Xenopus tropicalis: one gene and its partners. The protein of the gene in region 3 interacts with the protein of the main gene of each other region in a pairwise test. Links are inferred from orthologs where the notes say so. Each region holds a gene or a part of one and is shown on either strand. Other genes may lie near its edges. The genes, in order: esrrg, tbc1d22b, deup1 and txlna.

What was found.
Region 1: the proteins of deup1 (region 3) and esrrg interact in binary tests that used the Homo sapiens proteins (3 or more experiments, as listed by UniProt). The two-hybrid records come from large-scale screens. The link is inferred for Xenopus tropicalis from reciprocal best matches to the Homo sapiens genes DEUP1 and ESRRG.
Region 2: the proteins of deup1 (region 3) and tbc1d22b interact in binary tests that used the Homo sapiens proteins (3 or more experiments, as listed by UniProt). The link is inferred for Xenopus tropicalis from reciprocal best matches to the Homo sapiens genes DEUP1 and TBC1D22B.
Region 4: the proteins of deup1 (region 3) and txlna interact in binary tests that used the Homo sapiens proteins (3 or more experiments, as listed by UniProt). The two-hybrid records come from large-scale screens. The link is inferred for Xenopus tropicalis from reciprocal best matches to the Homo sapiens genes DEUP1 and TXLNA.

Annotation. Positions count from the first base shown.
Region 1 is NC_030681.2:12,595,198-12,598,764, forward strand, and holds the end of esrrg (estrogen-related receptor gamma), read left to right. Parts: intron 1-3,092; coding exon 3,093-3,337; 3' UTR 3,338-3,555; downstream 3,556-3,567. UniProt on the Homo sapiens protein: Orphan receptor that acts as a transcription activator in the absence of bound ligand. Binds specifically to an estrogen response element and activates reporter genes controlled by estrogen response elements.
Region 2 is NC_030678.2:65,166,624-65,170,950, forward strand, and holds the start of tbc1d22b (TBC1 domain family member 22B), read right to left. Parts: upstream 2,834-4,327; 5' UTR 2,622-2,833; coding exon 2,569-2,621; intron 1,759-2,568; coding exon 1,702-1,758; intron 1,587-1,701; coding exon 1,282-1,586; intron 1-1,281. UniProt on the Homo sapiens protein: May act as a GTPase-activating protein for Rab family protein(s).
Region 3 is NC_030678.2:165,842,961-165,846,527, forward strand, and holds part of deup1 (deuterosome assembly protein 1), read right to left. Parts: intron 567-3,567; coding exon 312-566; intron 1-311. UniProt on the Homo sapiens protein: Key structural component of the deuterosome, a structure that promotes de novo centriole amplification in multiciliated cells.
Region 4 is NC_030678.2:86,591,350-86,595,571, reverse strand, and holds the start of txlna (alpha-taxilin), read right to left. Parts: upstream 2,864-4,222; 5' UTR 2,626-2,863; intron 2,247-2,625; 5' UTR 2,238-2,246; coding exon 2,111-2,237; intron 121-2,110; coding exon 1-120. UniProt on the Homo sapiens protein: May be involved in intracellular vesicle traffic and potentially in calcium-dependent exocytosis in neuroendocrine cells.

The DNA of each region.
Region 1 (3,567 bases), on a different chromosome or scaffold from region 3:
TATCCCCTCCTTTGCGTTTTCCCTTTGTCCAATGTAACCGTTTCATTGCCGACAGCCAAATAGACCTTTATCTATCAATAAAAAAAAACATTTTTACTGCCCCATGCCTATTCTATAACATATGTGATCAAAAAACCAGAAAGGGTTTTTCGTTAAGGGTTAAGAAGAGTTTAGCCATCATGAGGGCATAAATGTGCTGAAGCAGTGACCGGGATCAGATAAGTAAAAATCGTTTGGGCTTTGTTTTCCCTTTGTGTCACCTTAATGCTTTTCCTGTGGTCTTAAGTCCCTTTTAGCATTTGCATATAGTTGATGATAGATCAGTGCTTAATAACATGCTGATCATTAGATACCTGTATGTCAATAACACGCTCCCATGCTATGTGCCATTGACAGTCACACCGTGCCCCTCCATCTGCTTTTGTTTTGACCCTTTCTTTGAACTTTATCTTGGTGGCTGGCCAGTCATTTTCCCTTTAATTACAAGAAGGAAACTGTCAATAAAATCTGTTAAATGGGATGCAATGAGTGGCTTGAATGGGCAGACGGCTATTTGTTCAAATTCTGGAGCATTCAAGGTATTGACAGTTTGTTTTCTGGGGCCATATGTGGCGATCAATCTCAGGCTGGGCTCAGCCGCGCTGAAAAATGAAAAACCAGATTGCTTTTGCCGACTTGTGGATGACGACTTGTGATTTGGTGCAACCCTACAGAGCGGAGACCTTCTGCCCAAATTGCCCCCCAGAGAGATGGAAATGTGTGACGGTTTATAGAAATATTGTTTTTAATTGATTTTGTGATTAACAGTTCATCTATAGCATTGTCGATGGTCTTTGATAGAATCAGTTTTTTACAGTGCTTTGTTACAGTGTAGTTTATTGTGTATTTGTATAGTTTATCACAGTGATCCCCAAGCAGTGGCTCAGGGGCCAACCCCTTGGATGTTGATCTCAGTGCCCCCAAACCAGGGAGTTATTTTTGAATTCCTGACTTGGGGGCAAGTTTTGGTTGAATAAAAACAAGATTTCCTACCAAATAAAGCCCCTGTAAGCTGATAGGGTGCATAGAGGCTGCCTAATAGCCAATCACAGCCCTTATTTGGCTCCTCCATGAACTTTTATGGTGCTTGTGTTGCTCCCCTTTTTATTACATTTGACTGTGGCTCACAAGTAAGAAAGGTTGGGGATCCCTGGGTTATCATATGGATTTCTGTATAAAATATGTAGCTTTGTTTCCTTGGAGTGTGCCCAAACATATTTAGAAGTTGTTGACATTCTCACACCTACATATTTTGGGATATTGGTCAATGAACTTTTGGAGTATACTATGCAGTTTGGTCAAACATCCCAATGACCCAATTGACTTTGGGGTGCTTGATGGAATCACTGCAGAGGTAATGGTGGCTGATGAACCCCGTAGGGATCACTAGTAAACTGCATAATCTATTTAGGGTTGAAAGATCAAATAGGAATGAAATTTAGCGATGAGCGAATTTTTTCAGCAGGCATGGATTCGCAGCGAATTTCTGCATTTCGCCATTGGCCAGGGCCGGAATTAGGGGTAGGCAGAAGAGGCAGCTGCCTAGGGTGCAATGATTAGGGGGCGCCAGGCAGGAACCTCTGCTGCCTACCCCTAGTCTGCTCTCTTTAGTTATTGCCCCTGCAAGAGTTCATTTTTATTGACCAAATGGTCAATAAAAAGGAACTCTTGCCACATTCTGAAGCGCTTTAAACTTGAGATTCATCCATTTCATTGAAGCACAAGCTTTGCCCGGCATCAGTGACGCCAACGAATATGCCATTGTATTTGTTACAGTGGAAATATGTGGTAATGATCTTTATAAATAGGAGGTGATGGTGGGACATGGTTAAAAAAGCAATTGTATTACAGGTATGGGATCCCTTATCCGGAAACCCGCTATCCAGAAAGCTCCAAATTACAGAAAGTCCGTCTCCCATAGACTCCATTTTAATCAAATAATTAAATTTTTTTCAAATTGATTTCCTTTTTCTCTGTAATAATAAAACAGTACCTGTACTTGATCCCAACTAAGATATAATTACCCCTTATTGGGGGCAGAACATCCCTATTGGGTTTATTTAATGGTTAAATGATTCCCTTTTCTCTGTAATAATAAAACAGTACCTGTACTTGATCCCAACTAAGATATAATTACCCCTTATTGGGGGCAGAACATCCCTATTGGGTTTATTTAATGGTTAAATGATTCCCTTTTCTCTGTAATAATAAAACAGTACCTGTACTTGATCCCAACTAAGATATAATTACCCCTTATTGGGGGCAGAACAGCCCTATTGGGTTTATTTAATGGTTAAATGATTCCCTTTTCTCTGTAATAATAAAACAGTACCTGTACTTGATCCCAACTAAGATATAATTACCCCTTATTGGGGGCAGAACAGCCCTATTGGGTTTATTTAATGGTTAAATGATTCCCTTTTCTCTGTAATAATAAAACAGTACCTGTACTTGATCCCAACTAAGATATAATTACCCCTTATTGGGGCAGAACAGCCCTATTGGGTTTATTTCATGGTTAAATGATCCCCTTTTCTCTGTAATAATAAAACAGTACCTGTACTTGATCCCAACTAAGATATAATTACCCCTTATTGGGGCAGAACAGCCCTATTGGGTTTATTTCATGGTTAAATGATCCCCTTTTCTCTGTAATAATAAAACAGTACCTGTACTTGATCCCAACTAAGATATAATTACCCCTTATTGGGGCAGAACAGCCCTATTGGGTTTATTTAATGGTTAAATGATTCCCTTTTCTCTGTAATAATAAAACAGTACCTGTACTTGATCCCAACTAAGATATAAATAATCCTTATTGGATGTAAAACAATCCTATTGGGTTTAATTAATGTTTTATTGATTTTTTAGTAGACTAAAGGTATGGAGATCCAAATTATGGAAAAAACCCTTATCCGGAATACCCTTGGTCCTGAGCATTCTAGATAATGGGCCCTATACCTGTATTTGAAACTGTTGAAACTAGTCAGTTCTTTTTATGTATGGACTTAACTAACTGATTGAGTAATAATCACTTATCATTTATTTTACAGACTCCATGCATATAGAAGATATAGAAGCTGTCCAGAAGCTTCAAGATGTCTTACACGAGGCTCTGCAGGATTACGAAGCTGGGCAGCATATCGAAGACCCCCGTCGGGCCGGCAAGCTATTGATGACCTTGCCTCTTCTTCGGCAAACGTCTACCAAGGCCGTCCAACATTTTTACAACATTAAACTAGAAGGAAAAGTTCCTATGCACAAACTTTTTTTGGAAATGCTCGAGGCCAAGGTCTGACTAAAAGCATCATTGGTGTCCCCAGGGTGCTGATTGGTAGAATAAGGGAAAAGTAAAAAAAAAAAAAAGTTCTGGCAAATAAACTTTACTACTGAACGCAAAGCAATTGACTGCGCTGATATTAGCAGCAAGACTTTAGCAGCTTTGTCTGTATCCTGAAGATACAGGTTTTTCCTCTTCCTTTTTTGCTGCTGAAATAAAATAATAATAATAATAATAATTAAAAAAAG
Region 2 (4,327 bases), about 100 Mb from region 3:
TATGTCATTATATCTGCTGTAAATCTGTACTGAAATATTAATTTTCATGAAGTTGCAGTGTTGGGAAAAACAAAATGAAAATTACCCTGAGATGTTTCAAATGACTTCACATAGTTATCCATTATGTATTTTTAGTATTGTGAGTGGCAGATGAAGTGATACTGATCTAAGCAATAAGAACTGCCTACCCTGACTGTATAAAGTCATTAACAGGATATTTGCAACAGATTTTGTATTTTTAATGAAAATAGGATAGTTACCCGTTACCCATGTTGTGTTCTGCTCTACCCCTGCACTGGGGCACAGCAGAACACAGACATCACTGTATGCCGTATCAGTGTTTCTCCCTGCTTTTTTGCTCTACAAATAAGATATGTGCAGTGTGCATGGGAATTCGTTGATATTTTTTTTCCAAACTATAGTCCGGCCCCCCAACAGTCTGAGGGAACTTGAACTGGCCCCGTTTAAAAAGTTTGAGGACCCCTGAATTAATGTGCGTACTTATTGGGTGGTGTATAAATATCAATTATAATTACTGAACTGTATATATTTCTTTTTTCTCTCTTTCCCTTGAACTTTGAGCACTGGTATTTTATTTTATTATCTGCTGGAAATTAAAGTTCACCCTTACACATACAGCTTATATACATACAAAAGAAACAAAATGTTTGCTTTGACACTGACCGATTAGGTAATCATTTAGATGAATCTTCCTTGATGCATCTTATATGTAATAACTGTTAAGGGCTCTGGCACACGGGGAGATTAGTCGCCCACGACAAATCTCCCTGTTCGCGGGTGACTAATCTCCTCGAATTGCCATCCCACCGACGACAATGTAAGTCGCCGGTGGGATGGCACAAGCTGCGCAGGCGATTTCGGCAAATCGCCGAAGTTGCCTCGCGAGGCATTTTCGATGATTTGCCGAAATCGTGCCGCCGCGTCTGCCATCCCATGCTATCCCATCGGCGACAATGTAAGTCGTCGGTGGGATGGCAGACGCTGCAGCGCAATTTCGGCAAATCATCGAAAATGCCTCGCGTGGAATGGCAACGCGGGGAGATTAGTCGCCCGCAAACGGGTAGATTTGTCGCGAGCGACTAATCTCCCTGTGTGCCAGAGCCCTTAGTAAGGGCTCTCCATCTCAACTTCAGCAATATGTTTTTATATTATCATAAAAAGTATTGGAGTTAAGGTAAAATTTAGCACTATGTAATAAATTGAACCTGTAAAAAATGCTTTGCAACCAAAAAATATACTCCTGACACTATAGTAGCGCACCTGCAGTGACCCTGTGGAGATGATCTTCACTGACAGATTTTGTAACAGAAGGTTGGCAAGGGGACTCCTCCCGTAGCTTGAGGTGGCTCTCTATAACTTGTGCAGCTGTCACTTCAGCAACCCTGGAGTTAAGAGTCTGATAGGGTGAAGCATACAGGACATCTCCTCCTCCATCATCATCATCAGCATCATCATCATCCTCAATATCCCAGGCATCACTAGTATTTCTTGCAAACTCATGAAAACTAGATGCTTTTCTGCTTTTCAAATGAAGTGGTTGTCGCCTTGAACGATCAGAAATATAACTGCCAAAAAATTGTAAATAAGGGTAACAAACAAAAGTTTAAATTGTTGGCATAGATAAGGTATTAATATCCATTATAAAAATATGAACAGAAATTTAGCCAAAACATTGTATACCTTTTATTGAGACGAGGGTCTAAAGGTGGGTGCTGGGCCCCATACACTGGTTGAATACTGAGAAAAGGATAAAGGTATTGACAAAATAAGATCATTGCATATAAAACCGGAATAAAAACAATGAGTAAACAAAGACCCCCAGAAATCCCTATATATCAGCTCCTTACAACTTATAGCTTTCTGTCCTTTTCATAACAAAGATCTCAATTTTTACTTGAATTCCTGCAAATTACATTACACATGATGATCTTAATATAGAATAAATGGCTGTCAAGATTTCATTATCCCACAAAACATAAAAAATGTCTATTGTTGTTGTATATTATTGTGTAATTAAACAATATAAACATACAACGTTTGCAAAGGCGATTTTGACTCTTTACTGTATATATGCACTAAAAGGTATTATGCATTGTGACAAATAGTATGAGACCAAACGGAATTGTGCACAGTCCCTAAGGTGCCAGCATTGATCAAGAAATCCTTGTTCTTCCCTCAAGTTTCCGGCAACAATCCATTGTCAGTAAACTGGGCCTCATTAAAAGGCATACTTAGTCACTACTGTCAAATTAAATAAACTCAAACCCTCACATGTACATATTAACCCCAATAATAATTGGACAAGCCCGCATCTTAGCACGTATATCTTTTAATTAAACATAATGCCATTTTCACAAGGAGACTGTAATTTCCCATTCCTTGATCTTTCCGAATCCACTCCTACTTTCAATAAATCAACTCATATACACAAACACACACTACTCAAATGTTCTGGTCTCTTCGTTCTTCCTACAAGTCAAAGCTGTCCAAGTTTTTCTATGAAACTCCTCAAGCACACTCCCTTTCATGATCGCCTTAAGTTGTTACCTTCCCGGAAGCTTTGTACTCCTTTTCCAGAACTGTCGGTTATTCTCTGACATCCTGCAAGTCCACTGTATTTCGTTTTGTAGGGTGTGCTCACCCGCTCCGGGGATCCGCTTCCACCATAACGGAACCGGGCGGGTAGAGATTCCTAATTGGCGGATTTTACAGTATCATCCAATTGAAGCCAATGAACGTTAGCGATGCTACGAGGCTACGGTGCTCAGGTGACGTTTTTAGCATGGAGCGCTCATAGGAAATCAACCGGAAGTGTTTGGTTTCGCCATCTTAGTACTCTCTGCGCTAGGTTGTAGAATTCATTTTTTTTGCCGTTGCAGCGGAAGAGTGTTTTTTTTTTTCTCTAGATTTGGTTATTATGTAACTTTAATTCAGGCGGTATGTATTAATGTAGTAGAATTGTGTTTTGTAGTTTATGTAAGAAAAAGAGGAGGTGAGAGGACTTTGTATGGCAGATCATTTTAGACCTGTTAACTTGGTGCAAAGTTGATCAGATTTTTTGAGTTTTTTTTATTTTAAATTGGAGAAATCATATATGGTGCATCGTTACAGTTGCCACATTTTCTGGAAAAAATAGCTTTTCCTATTTGTTTGTGTTTATACAATATTTCATACCTCCCAACATTTGAAAAGTAGAAGGAGGGACAAGAATATGTTTTTCATATTTTTCAGCCCATGCTTACTTTATGGCCACACTCCAAAACAGGCCTATTTTACAAAACCACACCTGAAAAGTATAACATACACAAAGTGCATCAGAAGACAGACACTGTGACCCCAATCATTTTATGACATATTGTGGCCCTAAGGATTTAATTACGCACTGTGCCACCTGTATATCATGACAGACTCAGTGAAGTACAAGCATCCCATGCTACATATTGACCCTCAGCATCTCTAATACCCATTTCAAAACAATTCAAAACTCAGAAAATCACCAGAGCTGTATGCAGTCCCATCAGTAGAAAGGACACACAGACACTGGTAGCCAGGGCCCCCTATAACATTGGTAGCCAGGGACCCCCTAAAACATATATGTCAAACACAAGGCCCGGGGGCCAAATCCGGCCCACCTGGCTGTTTTATGTGGCCCTTGGTGAGTGTGTCTGACCATCCAGCCTGATCAATTTCCATTTTCCTCACATAGTAACTAAAACTAAGGGGTATATTTATCATGCTGTGTAAAAAGTGTAGTGAAGCATTTCCAGTAATGTTGCCCAAGGCATCCAATCAGTAATCAGATTTCAACAGTAGCAAAGCTTCTATTGGCTGCTAGGAGCAACATCACCGGTAATGTCTTACTCCACTTTTTACACATTGTGATAAATATACTCCTATCTATCTTACTAAGTATATTAATAAAAAATTTGGCCCGAGACTTAGCCTTTGTTTTAGATTTTGGCCCCCTTATGTGATTGAGTTTGACACCCCTGCCCTAAAACATTGCTAGCCGGCCCAGGGCCCCCTAAAACATTGCTGGTCCTCCCCTATTTTGGTAAGAAAAGTTCTATCCTTATGCCCCAGTCTTGTTAAGCTTGGGGCCTCTGGTTCAATCCCCATATTAAGTACTTAGAAAGGTTTAGCCCTTGCCAATGGTATTTTAGGCAGCAGGTAAAATAATACAGATATTTTATGGGAAGGAAATAAATAAAATAGTGTCAGTGTAAAACATTTCATCATGGGTTTTAAACACAGTTGTGGAAAAACTAATCCTAAATACAGAGCTATATATTTTAGTAAGGCTTGG
Region 3 (3,567 bases):
CCAACCTGAGTCCTTATTGGTCACCTACTAGGAAAGTTTTTGTGCTTGTGTTGCTCCCCAGCTTTTTATTCATTAACATGTTGCTCATGGGTAAACAAAGGTTGGGGATCCCTGTACTAGAGGGTGGCCATTAAAGCTCTGCATCTTCCTACATGATAGCGGATATAACTGCGGCAGCAACTCTTCATAATAATTTCCATATTTACACGGAACTGTTCGGGTAACCTGATAGCTGGGTAAATGACACGTTATTATTTCGCTTGACAGATCAACAGATGATAGCTGCGTGCCGCCATCTATCCGGCCATTACCTGGGACTGCTTTTGACATCTCCTTAGTTCCTGTAAGAGCTGCTGATTTTCATCTTTCAGCGAGTCCCTGCTTAATGTGATTTCTTTTACAGTAGACTTGAGGTTTTCTATGATGACCCCGTCACTCCTGATGGTCTCCTGGGAAGTATCAAGCAGGCACCGCAGTCGTCGCATTTCAGACTGGTTATTGGTAATTGCTTCACTCTGCAGCTGCTTCTGGCTGGAAAGCTGCTCCTGATAGCTCAGCGACTCCTTCTACCAGGACGACACATAAAATCAGAATTATTTTGTGACCCTGCAATTGTAACGACATACTGAGAATCAATTAGACAAATGAAATGGAAGAACGGCTTCTGGTAACTGCGCCACCACAATTATTAGATGTGATGAGAAGCCGGGGAGTAAATATAGAACGTGGGGGAGCCAAAGGAAAGGTTTCCATTAAATCACAAAAATCCTCTAATGGAAATGTTCTGCTGGATATCTAAGTTCTTGAATAAAAATCTGATTTTAAGCTGGAAGCGATCCAGCGTGAGCAAAAATGGGATGAAGTACAAAATAAATCCTATTATGTGCACAGAACAGCAAAAATTGTATTACAGAGGCAAACTTAGAACTTCCCTTGGTCTGTCTGTAGGGTCCAATGTTCTTTCCTTCAGCTAAGCTCTGTCTCTTGAGCTTTGCTTTGTTCCATGTAACAGGAAGACAAATACCTACAAGCTTTGACTGATTTATGGATTGAATTTATCTACAAATATATCAAACAATACAAATAAACCTAAAGGTAGAGGTTTTTGGACTGTTTTCTTACTCAGTACCCTTCTGAGGGGCAAAGCTTGGGCTCAGAACCCATCACTCATAACAAGAATCATTAACAGATTCAAGAACATCTAGTACAGCAAATGCATGTTTTGCCCCAAATCTCAATCTATCCATCAATCTGGGCTTCCAAGAGCATCTAGAAGAGCCAACAAGCCTTCTCCCCAAAGGCTGATGGGACACGTGGCATCACTGCCATCGGGTAGAGAACAGCGGTGGTCAAACACCTTAACTTGACTCTCATTACCGTCCATTGATGTCTATTTGACTCAATCTCATTCTTGCCTAATCTAATATCTGGTACTTTCGAATCCACCAATCGAGCACATTCTAATAGTGCTGTTCACTAAGTTCCTAAACATCTGATGCTGCCATGGCATCAGCACATTATACAAAGTTCCCAACCAAGATGTCAAGATTTTAGACAATGATTTCTGTAAAAAATATTTTGGCCAAGATATCTACAGATGGAAGTCATTTTTATTAGGGATGCACCGAATCCAGGATTTGGTTCGGGATTCAGCTTTTTTCATCAGGATTTAGATTCGGCCGAATCCACGCTTTTGGCCGAACTGAATACGAAAAGTCACGTGACCTTTTTGTCAAGCAAACATGGAAGTTGAAAATTTTAAACCTTCAGAAACGTAATTAGCTTATGCCAATTAGGATTCGGTGCATCCCTACTTTCTATATCCGTTAGTGCTCTGAGACTCCAGCTACTTTATCAATCTGCCTGGCATGTGTGCCACTTGTGCCCGCGGCCTTGATCCAACAGTACGATGATGCCAAAGAGAAGAGAATGACAAATTCTAAGCAACTTGCATTTTATTTATTGTTTACAGTTTTTTAAATTATTTGCCGTCTTCTGACTCTTTCCAACTTTCAAATGGGGGGTCACTGACCCCAGCAGCCAAAAACCTATTGCTCTGTGAGGCTACAATTGTATTATTATTGTAATTATTATTACTTATTTTTCTCCAATTACTATTCCAGTCTCTATTCTGCTGAACGGAAAGTACATGGCCTTTTGGGTCACTACCACCATTATTTTGCATCCATCTGCCCAGACATCAATATATGAAAAGGCAGAATGGGCCATTTTGGTCGCTTCTGATTGAATAAGCAACCGGCTGCACAAAATAATTTCTTATTCTAGCCAAAGACTGCTCACATATGTGTTGGGTGGAGAATTTTAATGGTTGAAAAATGCATATGTCTAGGTATGCCAACTCCAGTTCAATGGCTGCCAGCATGATCTGTTCATTGTGACTAGGATCAGCGCAGTGAGTTGGGCAATAATGTTTGTTTAGGGGAATGCATGTAAACTAATCTTTACATTTATTTCTCATTATATTTATACTAAAGTAATGCTGACCAACTGCAGGCCTGTTCCAAAAGGTATCTTGGAAAGTGTTTTATTGGATAACTGGTCAGCTACATGGAAGAAATGGACTGCACTGCAGTAATGTCTATATCACAGTGCTGTCTATCTCTTACTCAGAATCACATTGCCTTTTACTTACCCTTTATGAGAACTGACTGAAAGTGCAAACATGGGCAAATCAGGCAGTTTTCATAGGGGCCAGTTTCAGCCTGTTTATTATTTCCTGTTATTTATATAGCGCCGACCCATTTCCACAGCGCTTTATAGAGATTATACATTATTCGCATCAGTCACTGCCCCAGAGTACTGAACTCAGGACCTGCCCGTTTGTGATACTAAAATGCGGTGGGCAAAACAATTGTGATCGTGCCTACTGACTGCTATATTATTTGATATCAGCATCTGTAAAGGTGATCGGGTAAGAGCAACATCCAAAGCATTTATTCTGGTAAATAAGTTTTTTAAAAAAAGCAAAGATGTCAATGGTTGCTATGGGCAACCAACTGGCGCAATTTCCATAAATACAAACTCCTTCCTTGCAAACCTAATAGCCAGACCCCATCAGTCATAATCGCTTACCTAGGGGGTTCATGGCTCTACGATTTATAAAATACCAATTATTTTTTATAGCACTTCAGAGCTTGTTTTTCCAAGTGATGTAAAAAAAAATATATTGTGTTTCATGGCAACAGTTGTTTCAGTAATTCTTCCTATTCCTTCAGAACTGCACTAACACTGGGCAAATTTACACCTGGCCATAGCAACCAATCAGTGATTAGCTTTTTTCAGGCACCTGCTGGTTGAAAAGTTTTTTGTTGGTTGCCATGGGATACTGCCCAGGTGTGAATTTGCCCAGGCTTTATAAATGAACCCCAGAGGGGCTCCCCTCCCGGGACAAGTATGAGAAGGAGATTTGGGTCTTTCACTTCATGTGGGTCTTTCACTTCATGACACCCTTCACCAGATGAGCCACCATAGACAAGAGGTCCAGTTGATGACCCATGGGCCAAACAATCTGATCATCCCGATCTGACCCAGCGTGAGGGTGGTGAC
Region 4 (4,222 bases), about 79 Mb from region 3:
AGTCTCCTGCTCCTTCTTGCTTGTCATCAACACAATATGTACTAAGAATATCTTCCAGCTGCCTACTTAACTCTTCAGACACATCACATACAGTAACAGAATTACCAGCTGCTCCTTCCACTGTAAGACAACCAGGCAACACATCAGCTGATTTTAAATCGGTAAAATTGATAGTATAACCAAGTAAAGTAATAACCAAAAAGTAATAACCAAAAGTAAAGCAGAATTCACACCAATTTTGAATTAATTAAGAGGAATTCACAATACAGGTGAAGTTTTACACTGAAGCAGTAAGCTATATTAATAAAGCACTATATACCTCTGAAAGGTTAACTGCAATGAAACAAATGAAAACAAGTCCTACCTGATAGGACTTGTTGCTACATCGGAGTTAATTCTACACCTGTGTTGTAAATTCACCTAGCAAGTTTCCAAGTTATTAAAGTTAAAGTCGCTAACCTGGCCATAAATATGTACACACTAAAGAGATCAGGCCACAAATTCAGAATTGCTTATTGAACCCACTGTGTGGTGGGTCAGATCTGACTATCTTGCCCTTTTAGACCCATATCAGCTCAGGCTGATTGACCACTGGGACCGCGCCAAGTACCTGACTGTCTGACATGGAAATATATGGGCCTTTGTAATATTCCATATCAGAGTTGTTCCTGAACTTATGAATCATGTAAGGTTTGTGACATAAGGGGAGATTAGTTGCTCCGTAACAAATCTCCATTATTGTGGTGCGACTAATCTCCCCGCAGTGCCATCCCACCGGCGATTTACATTCTAGCCGGTGGCATGGCATTGCGGGGAGATAAGTCGCGCATGACTAATCTTCCAGTGTGTCACAACCCTAAGGCGTTAACAGTGACTCTGATCTCAGGGTAGTGTATAATATAAACACAGATGGAACAGTGCAACAGCTGACCAAGGGCTATCACATCATAAAATGCAGTTACTTTTTAAGTCTATCTCCTAACGCTGTTGTGTGAATTAGATACACCTGTGATGGACAAGGAGGAGACCCACAGACCAGTATGAAGTGAAGGCAACAACTGTAAACAAAGGAACAACAACAAAAGGATGCCCAGCAGGGCGAAAAGGCAATGAATAGCAATTTGCTCATACCCTCAAGGTGGTAGAACAGGTTTTTAGACCATGGGAATAAAGTTCAAGAATGAGAATCACAGTCTGTACAACACTGTAACCTACATGACACCTTTAAAGGAACAGTAACACCAAAAAATGAAAGAGCTTTAAAGTAATAAAAATATAATGCACTGTTGCCCTGCACTGGTAAAACTGGTGTGTTTGCTACAGTAACACTACTATAATTTATATAATAAGCTGCTGTGTAGCCACGGGGGCAGCCATTCAAGCTGGAAAAAAGGCGAAAAGGCAGAGGTTTCATAGCAGATAACAGATAAGTTCTGTAGAATACAATAGTGTTTTATCTGTTAACTGCTATGTGCCTGTGCCTTTTCTCCTTTGAATGGCTGCCTCCATGGCTACACAGCAGCTTATTTATATAAATTATAGTAGACTTTCTGAAGTAAACACACAACTTTTACCAGTGCAGGGCAGCAGCACATTATATTTTAGTTACTTTTATACCCTTTCATTTTTTGGCGTTACTGTTCCTTTAATACCATTATTTGGGAAACTAATCATCTAAAGGACACTACTAACTTGGAGAATTCTATGGGTCATCATACAACATCAACCTAGCTGTGACTGTTCTTTGGGTGTGGCTATCCTGGGAAAGGGCTAGTAAGAGTTATGCTTAGTTGAATGGTATCCCTCATGTATATAAACAGCATTTGTTAGTGAAGTACTTTTCTCTCCCTTCTATTGCACCTTTTCGTTTCCCCTTTTACCTCCCTCCATTTTAGTTTCCCCTTTTCCTTTTCTTTTACTTTATTATTTTGTAAACACATATACCACTTATTTAAAAATCAGGCTACAGGGTGGAGCTTGAGAGAATAGTCTAAATGACTGATAACTTTAATGAACTAAAGAAGGTCTTGACCAAAGGTTGAATCTTCAATGCTGGAAGGCAGAACTGAAAAAATCCGACACCCACTATAAAAAAAATGCTACTACTAACCTTCAGTAGCAGGGTGACAAACTCCAGGTGTAGTCACGTTCTCATCTGTGGCTGGAGGAAGTGAGGGGCTTGATGAGGTAGGGGAAGGCCCTTTGGCTGTGCCATTCTCCAGTTCTTGGTCCTTCATGACTCACTTCTAACAAAAGGTAACAGAAGCAAAGTATGGCATGTAAACAAGAAACTTCACGTTTTTTTCTTAAGAATCTAGTTAACCCTGTATGTTTGTAGGTATAAAACAATTCAATCAATGAACCTTGTTAGCATTAACCACTAACTTATCAAGTAGTTAACCACCTAGAAATAGATAACTCATAAGCTGGCACATTGGATATGCATAGCTCAATGTGCAGAGTAACTCCAGGTCCGGCCCATGCCATGACAACCCTTACTAATGTAGGTTTTGGGGCAACTACTAGTCTGCATAATGGGCACTCCACACCTAAACTGAAGATTTGCATCCCCCCACATTTTATACTTCTTAATTGTTTTATTTATGCAGGGCCACTACATGCTACCTGTTGTCAGCAAACTTGTATGTTGTCCTTGTCGCTCTACACACGGAAGCTGCACCTCAAGCGATGCAGCAGTATGACAAATGATGTAGTTCTGGTCTGTTCCTTGTGTAAGCGCTGAACTGTACACTTGTTTCACACAAAGTTGTTGTCCCTGCCAGTGAGGTTGCGCTGACTCCTTTTCCCGGAGGACACGATTAATAACCGGATTTACCTCACTCTTGCATCCGCTCCGGTAACGCTCACTCTCTGCCGGAAGCCACAGGCACAGGCACAAATCCAGGCCGCAAGCCGGACACTTCTTAGCCAATGACACGCAGCTCCAACAAGCCTAAAGGCCAATGCGCTCTCAGAGGCGGGTCTAACGGAAACCTCTGCGTTCGGAAGCAAGATTTATCGGCGCTGCTGTTGATTATAAGGAAACAGAAACTGTATAGGGCGGTAGCAAAGGCGCGAAAGTAAAAACTACAATTCCCTATAAGCCTTGTTTGTGCGCAGTCGTACGCATGAGTACCACCTTTTTGTGCGCTCGTTTGTTATATATAACTAAGATTCATTAAACTGTGACCCTTGATTTGACCCTGTTCATATAGTTTTCTCGTTTTAAACAGGTTATATTTATAAAAATAAAGCAAAGGCTTATTGAAAGTTTTTTAACATTTCTAAATTGAAATAATATGCCCTTGATACCGTTTCTTTTTATTAACATTGTTAGTTTGTCAGTCACAAGAATAATGATACCTCAAACATTGTTTCCATAACTAATAACATATTGACCCCCAGTATTTCATAAAATCCTAGTGGCCCTAGCAACAAAGACATTAGCAAGATGGGGCTGCTAGTGGGGGTCACCCACTCAAAAACGTGTGGCCCATTTTGTTTTCAATGCGGCCTTGCTAACTGCGATTTTACTGTGGAACTCACTGTTTTTCCAAAATGCAGCTTTTTTCCCTCAGAATTCCAGCATTGTTGTTCTCACATAGGGACGTTGCGCCTGACACAATTGCAGGCACAAGCAAAACCACGCCAAGCCCAACTATAATGAAAATGTAATAGTTTTATCTCATGGAAATGAAAAAAACTTTAAAAATATAATCAATTAAAAATTCTGCTAATATGCTAAGGGGCATATTTCTTTTATTTGGGCACAAAATAAAATAAATATGCTGGTAGGTGGCAGGGGCCTACCACGCAGGGTCCCTGTGTGACCAGTGGGCAAATAATTGGAGGGGAGGGTCCTGCTTAGTAGTATGGGCCTCATGACTACTGCTGGCGCACTCCTTTCCCATATCACAGTATACTTTCATGGTATCACATTTACAATTATTACAGCATTATTTATACTACTTTTAAGGTACCTTAGTATTAACTGAAGGCAAAGCTCTAAATAAATTTTTGGATGTTATGGGACATCAGACGGTAAAGGTGGGGGTCTATGCAGAAGAAAAGAATTGGGCTGCAATGATTAAAGGAAGAATGGTATACAGTGGATGTTGGGTTGAGATAGAGTAGCATAATATAAAAGGCAAATGTGTGGGGGGAAAAAACAAAAAGTGGAGTAGGGTTTTTACAATATACCCCCTGAATAGCAATGAAAGTA